Linked DNA regions of Oryzias latipes. The protein of the gene in region 3 purifies or fractionates together with the protein of the main gene of each other region. This does not show direct contact. Links are inferred from orthologs where the notes say so. Each region holds a gene or a part of one and is shown on either strand. Other genes may lie near its edges.

What was found. The genes of interacting proteins can lie anywhere in the genome.
Region 1: the proteins of sympk (region 3) and cpsf4 purify together in Homo sapiens (affinity purification with mass spectrometry; 4 studies listed by BioGRID and IntAct, counting the BioPlex papers as one, with this or other methods). This does not show direct contact. The link is inferred for Oryzias latipes from reciprocal best matches to the Homo sapiens genes SYMPK and CPSF4.
Region 2: the proteins of sympk (region 3) and cpeb1 purify together in Homo sapiens (affinity purification with mass spectrometry; 3 studies listed by BioGRID and IntAct, counting the BioPlex papers as one, with this or other methods). This does not show direct contact. The link is inferred for Oryzias latipes from reciprocal best matches to the Homo sapiens genes SYMPK and CPEB1.

The regions. Positions count from the first base shown.
Region 1 is NC_019866.2:19,282,564-19,287,827, forward strand, and holds the start of cpsf4 (cleavage and polyadenylation specificity factor subunit 4), read right to left. Parts: upstream 3,572-5,264; 5' UTR 3,257-3,571; coding exon 3,154-3,256; intron 2,997-3,153; coding exon 2,946-2,996; intron 1,950-2,945; coding exon 1,797-1,949; intron 1,710-1,796; coding exon 1,614-1,709; intron 796-1,613; coding exon 702-795; intron 606-701; coding exon 533-605; intron 432-532; coding exon 273-431; intron 1-272. Other genes in the region: shmt1 (serine hydroxymethyltransferase, cytosolic), read right to left, coding at 4,993-5,165, 5,254-5,264. UniProt on the Homo sapiens protein: Component of the cleavage and polyadenylation specificity factor (CPSF) complex that play a key role in pre-mRNA 3'-end formation, recognizing the AAUAAA signal sequence and interacting with poly(A) polymerase and other factors to bring about cleavage and poly(A) addition.
Region 2 is NC_019861.2:10,607,264-10,612,525, reverse strand, and holds the start of cpeb1 (cytoplasmic polyadenylation element-binding protein 1), read right to left. Parts: upstream 3,572-5,262; 5' UTR 3,477-3,571; coding exon 3,462-3,476; intron 3,278-3,461; coding exon 3,103-3,277; intron 1,001-3,102; exon of another isoform or gene 787-1,000; coding exon of another isoform or gene 756-786; intron 570-755; coding exon 348-569; intron 1-347.
Region 3 is NC_019879.2:16,687,468-16,691,674, reverse strand, and holds part of sympk (symplekin), read left to right. Parts: coding exon 1-72; intron 73-743; coding exon 744-895; intron 896-974; coding exon 975-1,125; intron 1,126-1,248; coding exon 1,249-1,471; intron 1,472-1,550; coding exon 1,551-1,701; intron 1,702-1,818; coding exon 1,819-2,054; intron 2,055-2,142; coding exon 2,143-2,224; intron 2,225-2,320; coding exon 2,321-2,434; intron 2,435-2,498; coding exon 2,499-2,646; intron 2,647-2,732; coding exon 2,733-2,893; intron 2,894-3,585; coding exon 3,586-3,694; intron 3,695-3,830; coding exon 3,831-3,931; intron 3,932-4,020; coding exon 4,021-4,111; intron 4,112-4,207. UniProt on the Homo sapiens protein: Scaffold protein that functions as a component of a multimolecular complex involved in histone mRNA 3'-end processing. Specific component of the tight junction (TJ) plaque, but might not be an exclusively junctional component. May have a house-keeping rule.

The sequences.
Region 1 (5,264 bases), on a different chromosome or scaffold from region 3:
TTAGAAATGACCAGAAGAGGGCACTGGTAGGTGGAGCATCAGGGTACTGATGTGGAGAGAGACTCCAAAGAAGAGTTGGTGATGCACTGGGACTGTATGTCGGAGAGAAACTGAAGAATAAAACCGAACAGATTGAACCCACAGAGAGTCCTGAATTCTATTTTTTGTCTGTAAGATAAACACAGACATTACAGCCCTGATTTATGTTAAACTGCTAATGTTCCTCACTGCAGAACAATGACAGAACAAGAGCAGAGCCTCAGGCGACTCACCTTGTAACAGGTGACCTGGTCGAGAGGTCGGGGTCCTCTGTTGGCATTCATGTTGTTTTGATGAGAAATGATGTTTGTGTTGTTCTGCTGGCGTTGGCCTGGACTTGAGTTGGTCAGCTGGATGAGAGAAAGAGACGAGCGTCCGCTGGAAGCTGCAGTCTGTGGCAGAGAATGAACAGAGAGCTGTAAAAAAAATCCCATTGAAGCCCAGAAATACTTGAAGCACTTGCAGGTACTGAATCTTGGATCCATTTTCGCACCTTTCCCTGGTTTTGTATTTGCTGTGGTAGAGGGGGCTGTTCAGATGTTCCCATAGGCAACTCAAACCGCGGGCTGCAGAGGAACATTTATCATCACATGATGTCGCTCACATTCAGAACTTTACCCAAACCAATTACACCATTATTGAAAGCAGAAATGTTTACTTACTGCATAAATTTACAGGATTTGCCTTCTGGACAGAAGCCCACCAGATAATTCACACAGATCACTCTTCTGGTGTGTCTGTGTCTGCAGTCAGGACCTAGTGGGGAAGGAGAACAAAATGAAGATTACTTATATCAGTGGTTCCCAACTTTTTTCAGGCCCCGGTCTGATTGAACAGTCAATATTTTCACACAGCAGTCTGTATGAGACTGAAAGGGACGACCAACTTTTTTTTATCTTTGCCTTCAGTTTCCCTTTAACTTTTGAGGGTCAAGTTTATCTTCATCGTCTGTAAAATATTTGTATTTCTATGGATATAGTTCACCCTGAAAGGCTTAAGAAAAGCAGGATACAGGCCCGTTAATCCATAACTGTCAAAGTGGAAGCTACAAAAATCGAATTCCAACTTCAGCCTCGTCTGACTTTTAAGGACAGATAAATATGAAAAATAATTGTGTCTAAAAATTGTATTTTCTAAACATACTAATAAACCATTTCAGCAACGTTATTTGCAAACATCCTCGTAACATTACACAGCAGGTTGCTGAATATGATGCCCCATTGTTATGGCGTGTGGGAACAACTGTCACAATGAATCCACATTTGCAGTAAAGACTCCTGGTTTTTGTCTGTTCAAATGCAGATTTCTTGTATTTTGAAGATAAAGGCTCTTCTTCTGTTTCCTCACTTAATATGCTCTATGAACAAAAAAAACTTTCCAGGAACATTTGCGTTTTTGTCAGCACGTCACTGAGCAATTTGTTATGTGTCAAGAATGAGTCAGATGTGGTGGGGAGAATTCAGAAATTTTTCAAAATAAAGCCTCTTTCCGAATCAAATAAAAAATAAAAACGGTAAAAATGTGGGTTACAACGAATCCAGAGCACGAAAACCTGACACTGGGCTGGACCTTACCGTGTTTGCAGAAGCCTCTGTCGTACCAAGGACAGTCTTTGATCTTAGACTCTGGATCGATGTGCAGGAAGGGACATTCCTTGTTGCTGCACTCACCTGAGAGCCAACACACAGTTTGAATCTATCAGACCTGCGTGCTAAGCAATGGAAAGCGTTTTAAACGAGGAAGTCAAGTGAACCCACCAAACTTTGAGTAGAAATAGCATTCAGGCATCTTGGTCATGTCGTATTCGTGCAGAAACTCGCACTGGTCTCCCTTCTTACAGAGCCCTCTGAGCCAGTGCTTACACACCACCGTCTTCTCCCCGCTGATGTGACGGAACGGACACATTCCACCTGAGAGACACAGACACAGCTTTGTGGATTCATACGACACATGCAGGGATCGTTTTCCTCACTTTTATATGAAAGCGTGACCCACCAAAACCTCACACAAATATAGACATACGATTAAAAATAAAGTCTCTGCAGAACTGCCTTCTTTGTAACCCCAGAAATGTAAAACAGGTTTTAGGGTGCACATAAACAGGACAAAATAAAAAGTAAGAAGGCCAGACAATAATGATTACATAAATGATTACATCCAGACCTTTTAGCCGTATTTTGCTCATGTCTGCCTTAGTGTGACACTGAGTACATACAGAAAATCACAATAAAACACAAGAAGTTAATGAAATATAGAGCTGTAAAAGGTAAACTGAACATCACGACAGTGAAAGCCACGAACGGGCAAATGTCCCAACTAAATTCTGTAAAAATCTTAATCAGTGTAAGTCATCTATTAAAAAAAAATGAAATCAGGATTTTACAAACAGCAGTAGTTTGTAACTAAAGCTCTGGCTCATTATTTAAGAAAAAGGAAATAAGGTTATTAAAGAGTTATTTCATAAAGTTTAAAAATTATTTTAAACATTTTTTACAAGTTAGCGTTTGTCAATAGAATGCAAATAAGGTTTTAAAGAATAATTATTTCAAAGCAAACTTTTGCAAAGAAAACAAAAAAGTTTAAATTTACTTAGTTTACCAAACATATCCAGAAAGAAATAATAATAATCACCATTAACCATTTTAAATGAAAGAAAAATATTTAAAAATAGTTGTATCCACCTCTTTAGTTTATCAAAGAACTTTTTTTCAGCGGTTTATTATTTCTGTAATAAAAAAGTTATAGTAAACTGGTTCCCGCCTACAACGTACTAAAATGACAAACGATACCAACAACATGTAAACATTGCAGTTTCCTTCCAAATAAAACGTTTCTGAACATTTAAAACTGTTAAATGCAGATAATAATAGCAGCGCAACAGATGCTTCTGACTGTAGATGCTTTACCTTTCATACACGTTCCCTTCATGAAGAACTCGCACACAGCTGAGCCGGACTCTGCAAAAAGACAACATTATAACTGAACTGACAATTATAACGTGTTGTTTCTATTAAAAATAACAGAAACCAAAGAGGGCGAACCTGAGAAAAACTATGGTTATTCTCAACAAAAAAAGATGCTAGCATTAGCATAAGCTAGCATCCATGCACTTACTGTCCATGCCGGGAAACGGCAAAGGCTGCGCTCCCAGCTGCTGCTCCACAGCGATCTCCAGGTCGAACTTGATGTGATCCACGTTTGCTAGTAGCTCCTGCATGTTTGCCTTGAGTTGGTAGCTTTCAAAGCAAAGACTTGTTCGGTTAACTTAAGCTAAGATAGCTTAATGTCGAAACTGTTAGCCGGCGATTCCCTCATTAGCCAGCTAAAGTGGCTAACGGGGCGAGCCAGGCGAAACAACAAGAGCAGAGGATAACAATGAGATAAGGTAAGGATCACCGAAGTCCTTATATCAACTATTTCCAAACAAACAGGTGAACATGACTTAATATTTTTGTCTCCGAATCGACAGAGGTTCTGTTTGAGGACGCGCGCACATTGACCTCTGACCTGACGAATTCAGACGGATCTAAACGATTGTCGAGCAAGTCGAGTGATGTCACCGTTGAGTTAACCAAACCTGTTCATTTCTGACACTTTGCCTCTGGCAAATGACCAAAAACGAATGAAAATTTCATTTATTTTACTATTTTATTGTTTAGACATATTGGACACGTATGTGCATCTGATCATTTTTCTTAACTTGCACCTCGTGTATGCATTTCCATGTCCAATTATTTATAAAAATAAACAAAAAACAGGTTAAAGTTCAATTCAGAGATTAGCATGTCACACACCAGATCATGAATACAAAATGCTTTTGATGCTTCATCACTGCAAACCCCTCTCCTAAACAAAAAATCACTCATTCAAAGTCTGGTATGATCAACCAAATGATTTGATCCATTGACTGCATAAGAGACTCTAATACAACGTTGTGATCTGCTGGTTTTAGGGTGAAACACGACGCTTCAGAAATGAGTAATTGTTCAGCATTTTATAATCATTGGAAGCATGATGATATGACATGTTTAAGCAAGAATAAGCTTTCTAAGCTTTTATTGTGTTTTTCTACAGTGGAAAAAGAAAAAAAAAACAGTATTCAATACTTTAATACTTCAATACATAGATGCTGAAAAGGCTTTTGACAAAATAGATTGGACATTTTGCAAGTTCGATTATTAGTTCGAATTTGGAAAAACATGTAATTGTTGGTTTAGATGCCTGTACAAGAACTCTAAATCAAAGTAAAAATGATTGGACATTACAGTTTTTTAAATAATAGAAAATAAAATAAAGGGGAGTCAGACCTTACCCTCTACCCTTTTTTGTATCAAACCTCTAAGAGAGATGATACATCAAGAAATTCATACAGGAGTTTATTTATAAATGATCCCTTTATGCCAATGATATTTTGCTATTTGTTAAAAGCCCGTTGCTTCAAGACTTACGTCATGTTGACAGGAATATAGACGTTTCAGGCTATAAAATAAACCAAAAGAAAGCAGAAGTAATGATGTTATCAGGAATATGGCAAAATAACCTAAAACTTTAGATATCAATAAAAATAAGAAGATTTTATTGTATTAGTCTTTAAAAGGACAAAGAAAAAACAGTATTCATTGGCGGTTTCATGAAATCTTTTTATTACAGTGAATGAGTTACACATACTCATGGAATGTTTTTGGACTTAATTTACTAAAAATCGAAATTCCAGTCATGAATTTCCAGTCAGTTTTGATCGTAACATCTAAAAGATGTGAATCCCAAGTAAAACATCAGGACTCTGTAACATTACTAAATCATGACACAATGACATTTGCAGGACTGAGCTTAAATGTGTCTTTAATAAAAACAATTCTATTGAATTATCAAGTGAGGAATGCTTTAAGGTCAGAATACACCCATTGACTGGTGTGTTTAAACAATAAACGTTAGTCCAACTCTCGTCTGGCCTCACAGTTCCGGCAGGCCGGGCATGGGGAACTGACCGGCAAAAGCCTCCACCTCGGCTCTCAGCGCAGCTACTCGCTCCTGAAACTTCTCTCCCTGAGCCAGAGCCTGGACAAACTCCTTCAGAGTGGCTTTGGGATCCTGGCTCCTCTGCACATCCAGGGTCAATTCAACAGCTACAGGAAAAAACATTGGCGAAAGTCACGTTTTGCCTGAGAAACATCACTTTATGTTTTTAGGAGCATTTTTAGATGGATGGTGCACCTTTGTGGATG
Region 2 (5,262 bases), on a different chromosome or scaffold from region 3:
AAAAACTCAATTATAATTAGTAAGTGACACTTGCTTAGAGCAATATATAGGGTTTAAAGAAAGGGAAAGCACTCTTACTGGCTTGCTAGAGAGCGCAGCAAAGCAAAACTGCCACATCATCTTCCTGACAAAGATGCAGCCTGTTTCCACACAGATGGCAGCCATCCAGGCATGACCAATTTCAAAGCTAATGACCGTTCTACAGAAACATGCCAGCTTTTTCATTATCAGTTTTACAGCAAATGATGCTGAAAGGCCAGTCTCAACAGCAGAAACACAAACCACATTAGTAACAGATCCAGATTTCTTCCTGCAGTACCCAAAAACAAATAGAGTCCAGTACTTACTGGAGGGCGAGCCGGCCTGATGCTGAGACGGGGGAGCATGTGTGTCAGTCTCCTGACTGCTCCATGGTCTGTCCCAGCCGGACAGACGGAGAGACTGGAGGCCAAGGCCCAGGTCCGTGACAGTCGACTGGCCCCGGGATGGAGGCATATCCTGGGATCCGGGGATGCCCCCACAGTTGGGGAAAAGCATCCTCCTGCTGCCCACTGCAGCCAGCTCAGACTCTTCAGGTGCCAAGATCCAATTCAAACGATGGTAAAAGACAAGGAAAAAAAGAGTGTTAGCAACACTTGTATCCCACTGGTGACAGACAGAATGAGATCTGCAAAGCCACATCTGATTAAAAACAAACAAAACAAAAAAACAACCAACTCTTTAAAACACTCAGCTCTGCTAACAGTGGAGCTAACCTGCTGCCTCTGTGCCCGGTGCAACTGCCATGCATCCCTGTTCGCATCACTGACCCACCTAGTAGCATGTGACATGGCTGCTGATGCACTCGCACGCCCCTGCTAATGACATCAGCTCCCCCTCCACCCCCACCTCCTTGCTGAACAACTCAGTAATGAAAAATTCCAGTTGCGCCGGCCGGCTGAATGAAGTACGTCCCTCTGTGGTGGGTGCACAGCGGCTCAGTTAGCGGTGGTGGCAGCTGCTGCTTACCGTATCTGCTCTGGCTTTCTGAGTGAGCAGACCACGACTGGAGGGAGGGGGGGAGTCGAGGGACAGAACTACAACAGAATGGTGGGAGGAAGTCTGGCAGTGAGTGACTCAGCAGACTTTGACTCTAAAGTATTTTAAACCCAAAGAAGTAGGATTTTTTTAATAACTTCAGTTTGAAACTTCTGACATAAAAAGGTTTCTAAAACAAAAAGGGAGACTGGCATTTAAGCACATTTTTGCAGGAGCAGCTGACTGATCAGATGATGAGGTTTGAGCTATTTTGCACTGCCAGCTCCTCCTCTCCCCACAACTGGAAAGCTACCAGCATCCAGTCGTACCTCTGATTCAGCAACTCAATCTGGGCTGGAGAGGGCAAAGGCCACAGCAGAGGTTTAGGTCAGTTAGCAAAAAAAAAAAAAAAACTAACAGATTTACACTTCTGATTCATGATGCTGATGAAGAGGGAAAATATTGTGCAACTATGTTTTAAAGAAAAGGTTATTCTAGAGAAGAGAAAAAAAAAAGTTATGCAAAAACAATGCTGAGCTTTTCCTGGCAATTCCCACCGAGTAAGAAAGGAAGAAATGGCCGTTTAAAACTGGTGCAATGCTGCAGACTATTGATGCAGCATGAATCAGCTGTTGGCAAGGCAAGTGATAAACGAAAAGGTGAGAGATTTAACAGACCATGAGGCAAAACACTTGAGTGCCTTGAAATGTCTTGATTTATTTTAAGTGTTCAGTGATATTAAGTGTTCAGTGATATTTTAATTATGCCATTTCTGGGACAAGAAAAAAAGTTTTGACAATTTTTGCAGAGTAAAGCAAGAGTTAATTAGAAATTCGCCTCCAAGTTGTAGGTGGGACCCCACTTCCTGCCACACATTTACGCCCTCTCCCACTGGCTTACAGCCCTTCACAACCCTAACCCAACATTAGCAGTGCAGCGACAAAGATGGTGAGCAATATTGAAGCCGTCCAGCTTCGAGTCAGATGCCAGCTCGGAGGAAGGTTAGGAAATTGGGCAAAGTGGAAAACTTGTGGTCCATTAATTGCAGTTTCAACGTCACAAATACACTTTGTGCAGCTCTGCTCCCGTTTCATTACAATTTCAATAACACTTGGAAATGCCATTTAAGCTGAATTTACTTTATACATGTCCATTAGAAAAATGCCACAAAAAACATGTTTTATATTTTTTTTAAAAACTGTTGGGCCTTTACAATAGGTAACTAAACACAACTTTGCTGCCCAAATTCCAATTAAAACTGTTTAACGTGTAAAAGGCATTTCTCAAAAACAACCTTTTGAGTATGCATTCCAATTTTTTGTTTTTAAATCAGGAGCAGACGACGTAAATACTGTGGGACAAAGCCTGAAGCAGTGATGTAGGTGCTAAAAATCGGCAGGCCACAAGCTCCCTGCTTAGCTCCGTTCTGATGAGTCCACTTGCAGATGACGAGATGCTTTCAAGTCTTTTTTCCACGTCCGAGCCGGCATCTGGCTCAAAACTGTGTGGCTGGTTAGCTCCAGTTTTGCTCACCATTTTTGTTGCGTCGCCAATTTTAAGTTGGGGGTGTGAGCAGCTTAAGCTAGTGTGTGTGTGTGTACACAAAGGGATGATGGGAAATGAGGGCAGCCTTACTCTGCTCCAACTGTCTGATTTTCCAAATGTCCCAGAAAACAGATTTTTTAAAAACTCAAATGATTATTAGGTAAACTGAGCTACCCATGCAAGATTAATTTATTGGAACATTTGTATTACAAAAAAAAAAAAAAAAAAAAGATTTAAATTAAAATTTAGTTAAAAAAACATTTTGAGTTGTTACTTCTACATTTAGCTTTCCAAAGCACAAGATCTTTGAAGTTATGGATATAAAGTGTCCCAAATTCAGTGGTGGTAAATTGTTAGGTCGTGACCTTTAGGACAGCAAAGTGACCCAATCAGAGTTTAAGTTCATATAAAAGCCACAGTTCCATGAAAAGTCACAGAAGTTACCATTTCATTGACTGCTTAAGCTAGCTGACAACCAACAAGCTAGTAATTCAAAGTTAACTCGGTCCCGCGTGTGAAGACAGAAATGTAACAAGTCACCACATAGCAGGTCTGGCTTCTGCTTGCTGCTACTGTTGGGTGTGCTGCACACTCCGGTGAAGTCCAGAGCGTTTCCCAGGATGGAGTTCATCCTGCGGAAGATGTCCGCGTTGCTGCAGGTGGACAGCGCAGGAGACTCGGTGTCCGGGTTCTCCGGCCTGCGGGCATCGTTCCTCTGCGAGAAAAAGAGCGGCCAAAGTTCACCTCCAATTAAGCTAACACTCATTAGCACACAGTTTTTAATATTATATTTATTTTGTTAAAGAAACGTTGTCATTTAGTTTTATAGAGACGATACCAACGGTGTTTTATAACCAAAAAATTAACGGACTCCCTCACTAATTTAATTTTCAACTCACCAAGGAAAACGCCATAATGTGGACAGAAAGCCTAAAAAGAAGTGTCACAATAATAACGACCCCTGCCTGTAGGGAAAGAGTCACATTTATGAGGTTTGCTTGAAACTAATTAGTCATGATGTGACAAACGTGTGGTCGACTCATGTCTGCGCCTCGAGGGCCGTCGTCTGCTCACGTGACCCACATGATCAGAGCTTGTCCAAAACTCTAGAAAAGTAAAATCTTTATGTTTTACCCTTAAAACCGCTTTGTTTGAAAGAAATATGATATGTATGGTTTAAAAAGGTAACTAACAATAGCACGCTATTTTAGAAGGGGAAAAAAGGTTATATATTTATTTAAAAAAGGGCATTTTCTTTACTAGTGGTTCTAAAATGGAATGTACCACTCAATGGTCCATTGTGACACTTCAGGACTCACTTTAAATATTGTCGTTACGCTATACAAATCCTCAGAAATGACTTTAACAAACATTTTTCATAATAATTAAATTATTTAATTAGATCCTCGAAATATTTTTTTCCAGACTCCCCCAAAACAACAGTACTTAAGCGAGACTTCTCAAACCCAAACATTGACTATGAACCCAGCAGCAGTCACTGAGAATGACTTTTTTATGTGTGTGTGTGTGTATATATATATACACACACACATATATATATATATATACACACACACACACACACATATATATATATATATATGTATATATATATATATATATATATATATGTATATATATATATATATATGTATATATATATATATATATATATATATATATATATATATATATATATATATATATATATATATATATATATATATATATATATATATATATATATATATATATATATATATATATGTATATGTATATATATATATATATATATATATATATATATATATATATATATATATATATATATATATATATATATATATATACATTAACATTAACTAAAAAAGCAAAGAACGACTTATCTTTGTGGTTGGTGTCTAATTTCACTAGTGTTTTTTTTCTTCTAAAGAAAAAGAAAGAGAAAACATGGAAACTTTTTGTAGTTTAATAAGTCATAGGATGCTGTTTTTCATAAACAAACTGGACTTGTTTAATTTTTTGTTTTATTGTTTTTAATGCTTTTTTCTCTTTACAATGTTTATTTTCTTGTAGTTTTTTTTCTGTTTTGTGCATATCAGGGAGTGCATCATCAAAAAAAATGTAGAAGCAGAGATCATGATTCTTAAACAGTCTTTTTGAAAACAGAAATGAACTACCAGTATGCAGGTAAATAAAATGCAAATAGTAATAAATTAGAACATTTATTTTTAAATGACAAGTTAAAAAGGTGGGTCTTCTTTTTAAATTCCTCAACTCCAGATGAAGTTCTCAGATCCCGCAGGGAGGCTGTTCTGCAGAAGAGACCCAAATTCCTCGAATTAGGTTTTTGTTTTTATGCCTGAAAAATGCCTGATTTAACCGGACCAACGCTGGATTTACACCGGTTTGTCTAAGGTGCGTCTGATATTTCTCATAAATCTTTATTGTGAAAGTACAACGGAAGCCTTTTATTTTGATAGCCGGATGTGTTTGCTGTTTCTCTGGCTTTTTACCATGAAATTGGCGCGTCGACGGACAGGAAATAGAACTCCCTGCGTAAAGCTTGCGTTGCGTGGCGGACGGAAGTCAGACGCAGACATGATGGAGGCGACGTAAACATCACTTCTATTGATTTAGTGAACGTTCTGTTATTTTGTGGCAACGCAACGCAGTGTTGACGCACTGCAGACGGACTAG
Region 3 (4,207 bases):
CTCCTGTACCACGAGAGCCTCGCAAGAGGCCTCGCTATGAGCAATACACAGAGGGAAAGAAGGTCAAGATTGGTGAGTAGTTCACCACAAAAATGCAGACTGCCTTAGAAAATAACATTTTTATAAAAAAAAAACAGTCTTTAAAGGACTTGTTGAAAGATTACGAGTGTTTGTTTTCTTGCCATCACTTGCAGAGGCTGTAACTTTGCTTTACTTAGTTTTTCTTTCTGCACAGGTTAGTCTCTATTGCAGCAGCATCACACCCAGAGATTCTTTAGATTACTGTGTGGTGACTCTGTAGTTTTAGATTGACTAATAGAAATAGAATTTTAGATTCAAAATTTTAGGTTATTCTTGCTCTTTTCTTAATTCCCCCACGGTTTATATTTTAATGTTTCATTTTGTGCTATCAGTGTGGATTATAAATTCACTATGGATTTGTTTTAATTTGTGACAACAATTACAGACATTTTTTGAATTTAAAACATATTTTGGGTACTCCGATCCCGTTTCATTACAGGTTTTCTTTTCTTCTTCTTTTTTTATTCCAATAATGTTGTTTTTGGGAATATTCTGAATGAAATTAGCATAACTCATGTCTAACCATATTTGGGCATCGGAGGCCTATAAAAATTGCTTTTGCAAAGACACATGGTTTCTTTATTTATTATGGTTTTTTAAAATTGCTTTTGCAAAGACACATGGTTTCTTTATTGATTTATGGTGCGTGTTCTACTGTTTAGAACCAGCTCTTATGGAAGATGATGAAGACAAGGAGGAGCCAGCCCCCCTCGCAGCCCCCAAGCCAGCGGCCGTTCCAGCCGTGCAGTCTGCCCTTGACCTTACGGCCGAGTTCCTTCACCCGCTGCTAACTCCTGAAAATGTCGCCAACCTCGTAAGTGTCTGAGATCATTCTCAGGCTGTCTTTTTTTCTGAGGGTTTGTGTCCTAAAACTCTTCATTACCTCGGTTTAGGTGCTCATCAGCATGGTGTATCTGCCTGATGTGATGCCAGCATCTTTCCAGGCCACATACACACCTGTTGAATCTGCAGGTACTGATGCGCAGATTAAACATCTGGCCAGGATGATGGCTACACAGATGACTGCAGCTGGAATTGGTCCAGGTGAGCATCACAAACGTGCACCAGAAACACTTCATAGTAAAAGAAAAAAACATAAAACGAAATAAGAATCCTCAAAGATGCTGGTTTGTCTTATATGAGCATTTTCTGAACTTTGAACCTTAGGTCTTGAACAAAGCAAAGCAAAGGGGGATGAGGCTTGCAAAGAGGAACAGAGCGAGGAAGACTCTACTGCTAAAGACATTCTCATCAAACGCAAAGTTCCTGCTGTGATCTTGGGCCAAGCCATCTCTGTGGTCGGAGGTTACTCCGAGAAGCCCTCTGCTACGGAACCTCCAGCCGCACCAAAGAGGCTTCCAGAGCCCATCCTTCCATCTGCACCAACCAAGTGAGTTCTAGCACTTCATTCAGACAGCAAAGAGGGTGAGATCTCGCTTGTCACCCCGCATGATTCTGGTTCTTTACAGGTTGATGGGGGCAAGCGGTAGGAAAAAAGTGTTCCGCTTGTCAGATGTTGTTCAGCCTCTATCAGACACCCAGAATGAGAAGTTGACTTCAAGCGCTGTGAAGCGCATTTTACATTCAGAGAAAGCGATTGCACAAAGTGGAATGTCCCATGTGAGTAACCCAAATCAGGATACATCTTGACTTTAACGAGTGCAGGGGGGTTAAAACTGGATAGGGTCAGTCTATTTCCTTCCTTTGGGGTATAAGAATGTAAAATCTGTGTTGCAGATCAGAGTAAAGCTCCTCTCCAGACTTGTGACACAGTTTGAAGGAATGATGAAAGAGGACGTACTTCAATTTATTTTAGAGGACATCCGGTCAAGGAGTGATCTGGCCTTTTCTCTGCTCTACCAAGAGTATAACACTTACCTCAGCCAGCTCCCTTCAGGCCTGCTGGACAGCTATGATCAGTGTCTTTTCACTCTGCTGTCAGGCCTGCAGGAGAAGCCTGAGCAGAGGGATGGGTAAGAACACATGCTTGGTATCAAGATTTGCTACATTGCTTTGGTTGCTGTGTATGTATAGGAAGATTTGTGTGTTCCTTATTTCTAGGCTTTTCACCAAGCTGGTACTGGAGGCTCCCATTATAACCGAATCTGCATTAGAAGTAATCCGGCGTTACTGTGAGGACGAGGTAAAAAAACAAAACACAAAAAAGCCCAGCTGTACTCCGGTGGCTACTTCTCAACCTTTCCTTCAGCATTCTGTGAGCCATTTCCTTTCGTTTCAGTCTCGCGTATATTTAGGAATGACAACTCTGAAGGAGCTCATAGTCAAGCGGCCCTCCAGGCAGTTTCAGTATCTGCACGTGCTTCTGGATCTCAGCTCCAACGAGAAAGAGAAGGTGATGCTGGGATGGGCACGTGTCTGATCTGTTCTTGTGCTAAATATCTGCTCTTCCATTTCAGGTGCGCACCACTGCCTTGGCTTTTCTGAAGCGCATGTATGAGAAAGACCAACTGAGGGATTACATCGAGAAGTTTGCTCTAAACTACCTGCAGCTTCTGGTTCACCCCAACCCGCCATCTTTGCTCTTTGGAGCCGACAAGGATACAGGTTTGTTCATAACATATCTGACTTATGATTGTGATGATGCGATCTTCACATTTTTGCCTCAATGCTCTTTGCATTTGTTGACACAGAGGTGGCTGCCCCCTGGACTGAAGAGACAGTGAGACAGTGTCTTTTCCTTTACCTGTCCCTGCTTCCTTTGAACCACCGGCTGGTCCACGAGCTGGCTTCCGTCTACACTGAAGCCATTGCTGACATCAAACGCAGCGTCCTCCGAGCAATAGAGCAGCCTGTAAGGCTTTCCTCACTCATTTGTTTAGGAAAGTTTGGGTTGTTTGAGTCATAAGCAGCGTGAAACATAAACCAACCCCTCAGAATAATAATAAAAAAAACAATTTAACAGTCAAACTTTTTAACTTTATGGTTTTGCCTAAATCACGCAAATTAAAACAAAACATAAAATAAAATCAGAGTTCATGCTTCCATTGATGAAATGATGAGAATGTTTTAATTGGTCAGCAGTAATGCCACTGTAATGCAGGTTTATTTTAATTGTATTTTGACCTATTTATGGGTTTACCATTATAAACTTCAGTACATGAGTTAGTTTGTACATTCCATCAGAAAAAGAAATTATTCTACTACTTTTCCTTTTAAGGAAGTGCCTTTAAACACCAATTGAAATGTTTTTGTGTACATCTTAAATTAGTCTAAATTTTTTTGTTTGATTTCATGTTTCAACAAAAATTTCCTTTTTTTCTCCCTATTTTCAGTTTTTCTCTACATTCTTGAAACTTCTCACCTCACACCTCTTCCTTATGAACAAAAACAAACAGTTTGAGAGCAGAACGAGATATTAGATCTCTGTACCTTTTTAAAGTCTGATGAAGGGCTTTCACAAGACCTCAAGAAAATCAAAAAGGAAATGATTTGAACTAAATCATTTGAGTAGTTTGTGCTTTTTGATTTATCTCTTTGCTTTAGATTCGTGGAATGGGGATGAACTCTCCAGAGCTGCTACTGCTGGTTGAAAATTGTCCTAAAGGAGCAGAGACTCTGGTCACTCGCTGCCTGCACATATTGACTGATAAAGGTAATGTTTAATTTGTACTGGATTTAGGTCACAGAGTGGAGATTTTTCTGAAAGGAAAATGTATTTTTGCATGATTTGGTGCATTGTCCTCCATGAGAGCGTACAATGAAATATGTGGAAACTGTCTTTATTGTAGTGCCACCATCACCAGAGCTGGTGGAGAGGGTGCGAGACCTTTACCACAAAAGAGTGCCAGATGTTCGCTTCCTAATCCCCGTCATAAATGGTCTTGAAAAGGTGCCAGTCTAGTTAACAGTCAGTGAATCAACCGCTAGGATTTTTCGGGATTGTCTTTACTATTCCTGTTTGTTTTTGGTTATCTATAGAATGAAGTCATCCAGGCTCTCCCTAAACTCATCAAACTGAACCCGATTGTTGTGAAGGAGGTCTTCAACAGACTCTTAGGAACTCAGCACAGTAAGAGCTATTTTTATCTAATGTTTGCATAATTCTTTGAATCCATGCTTAATTTTAGACATTTCTACTACACAAGTCCAGCCCAATAGCAAATTA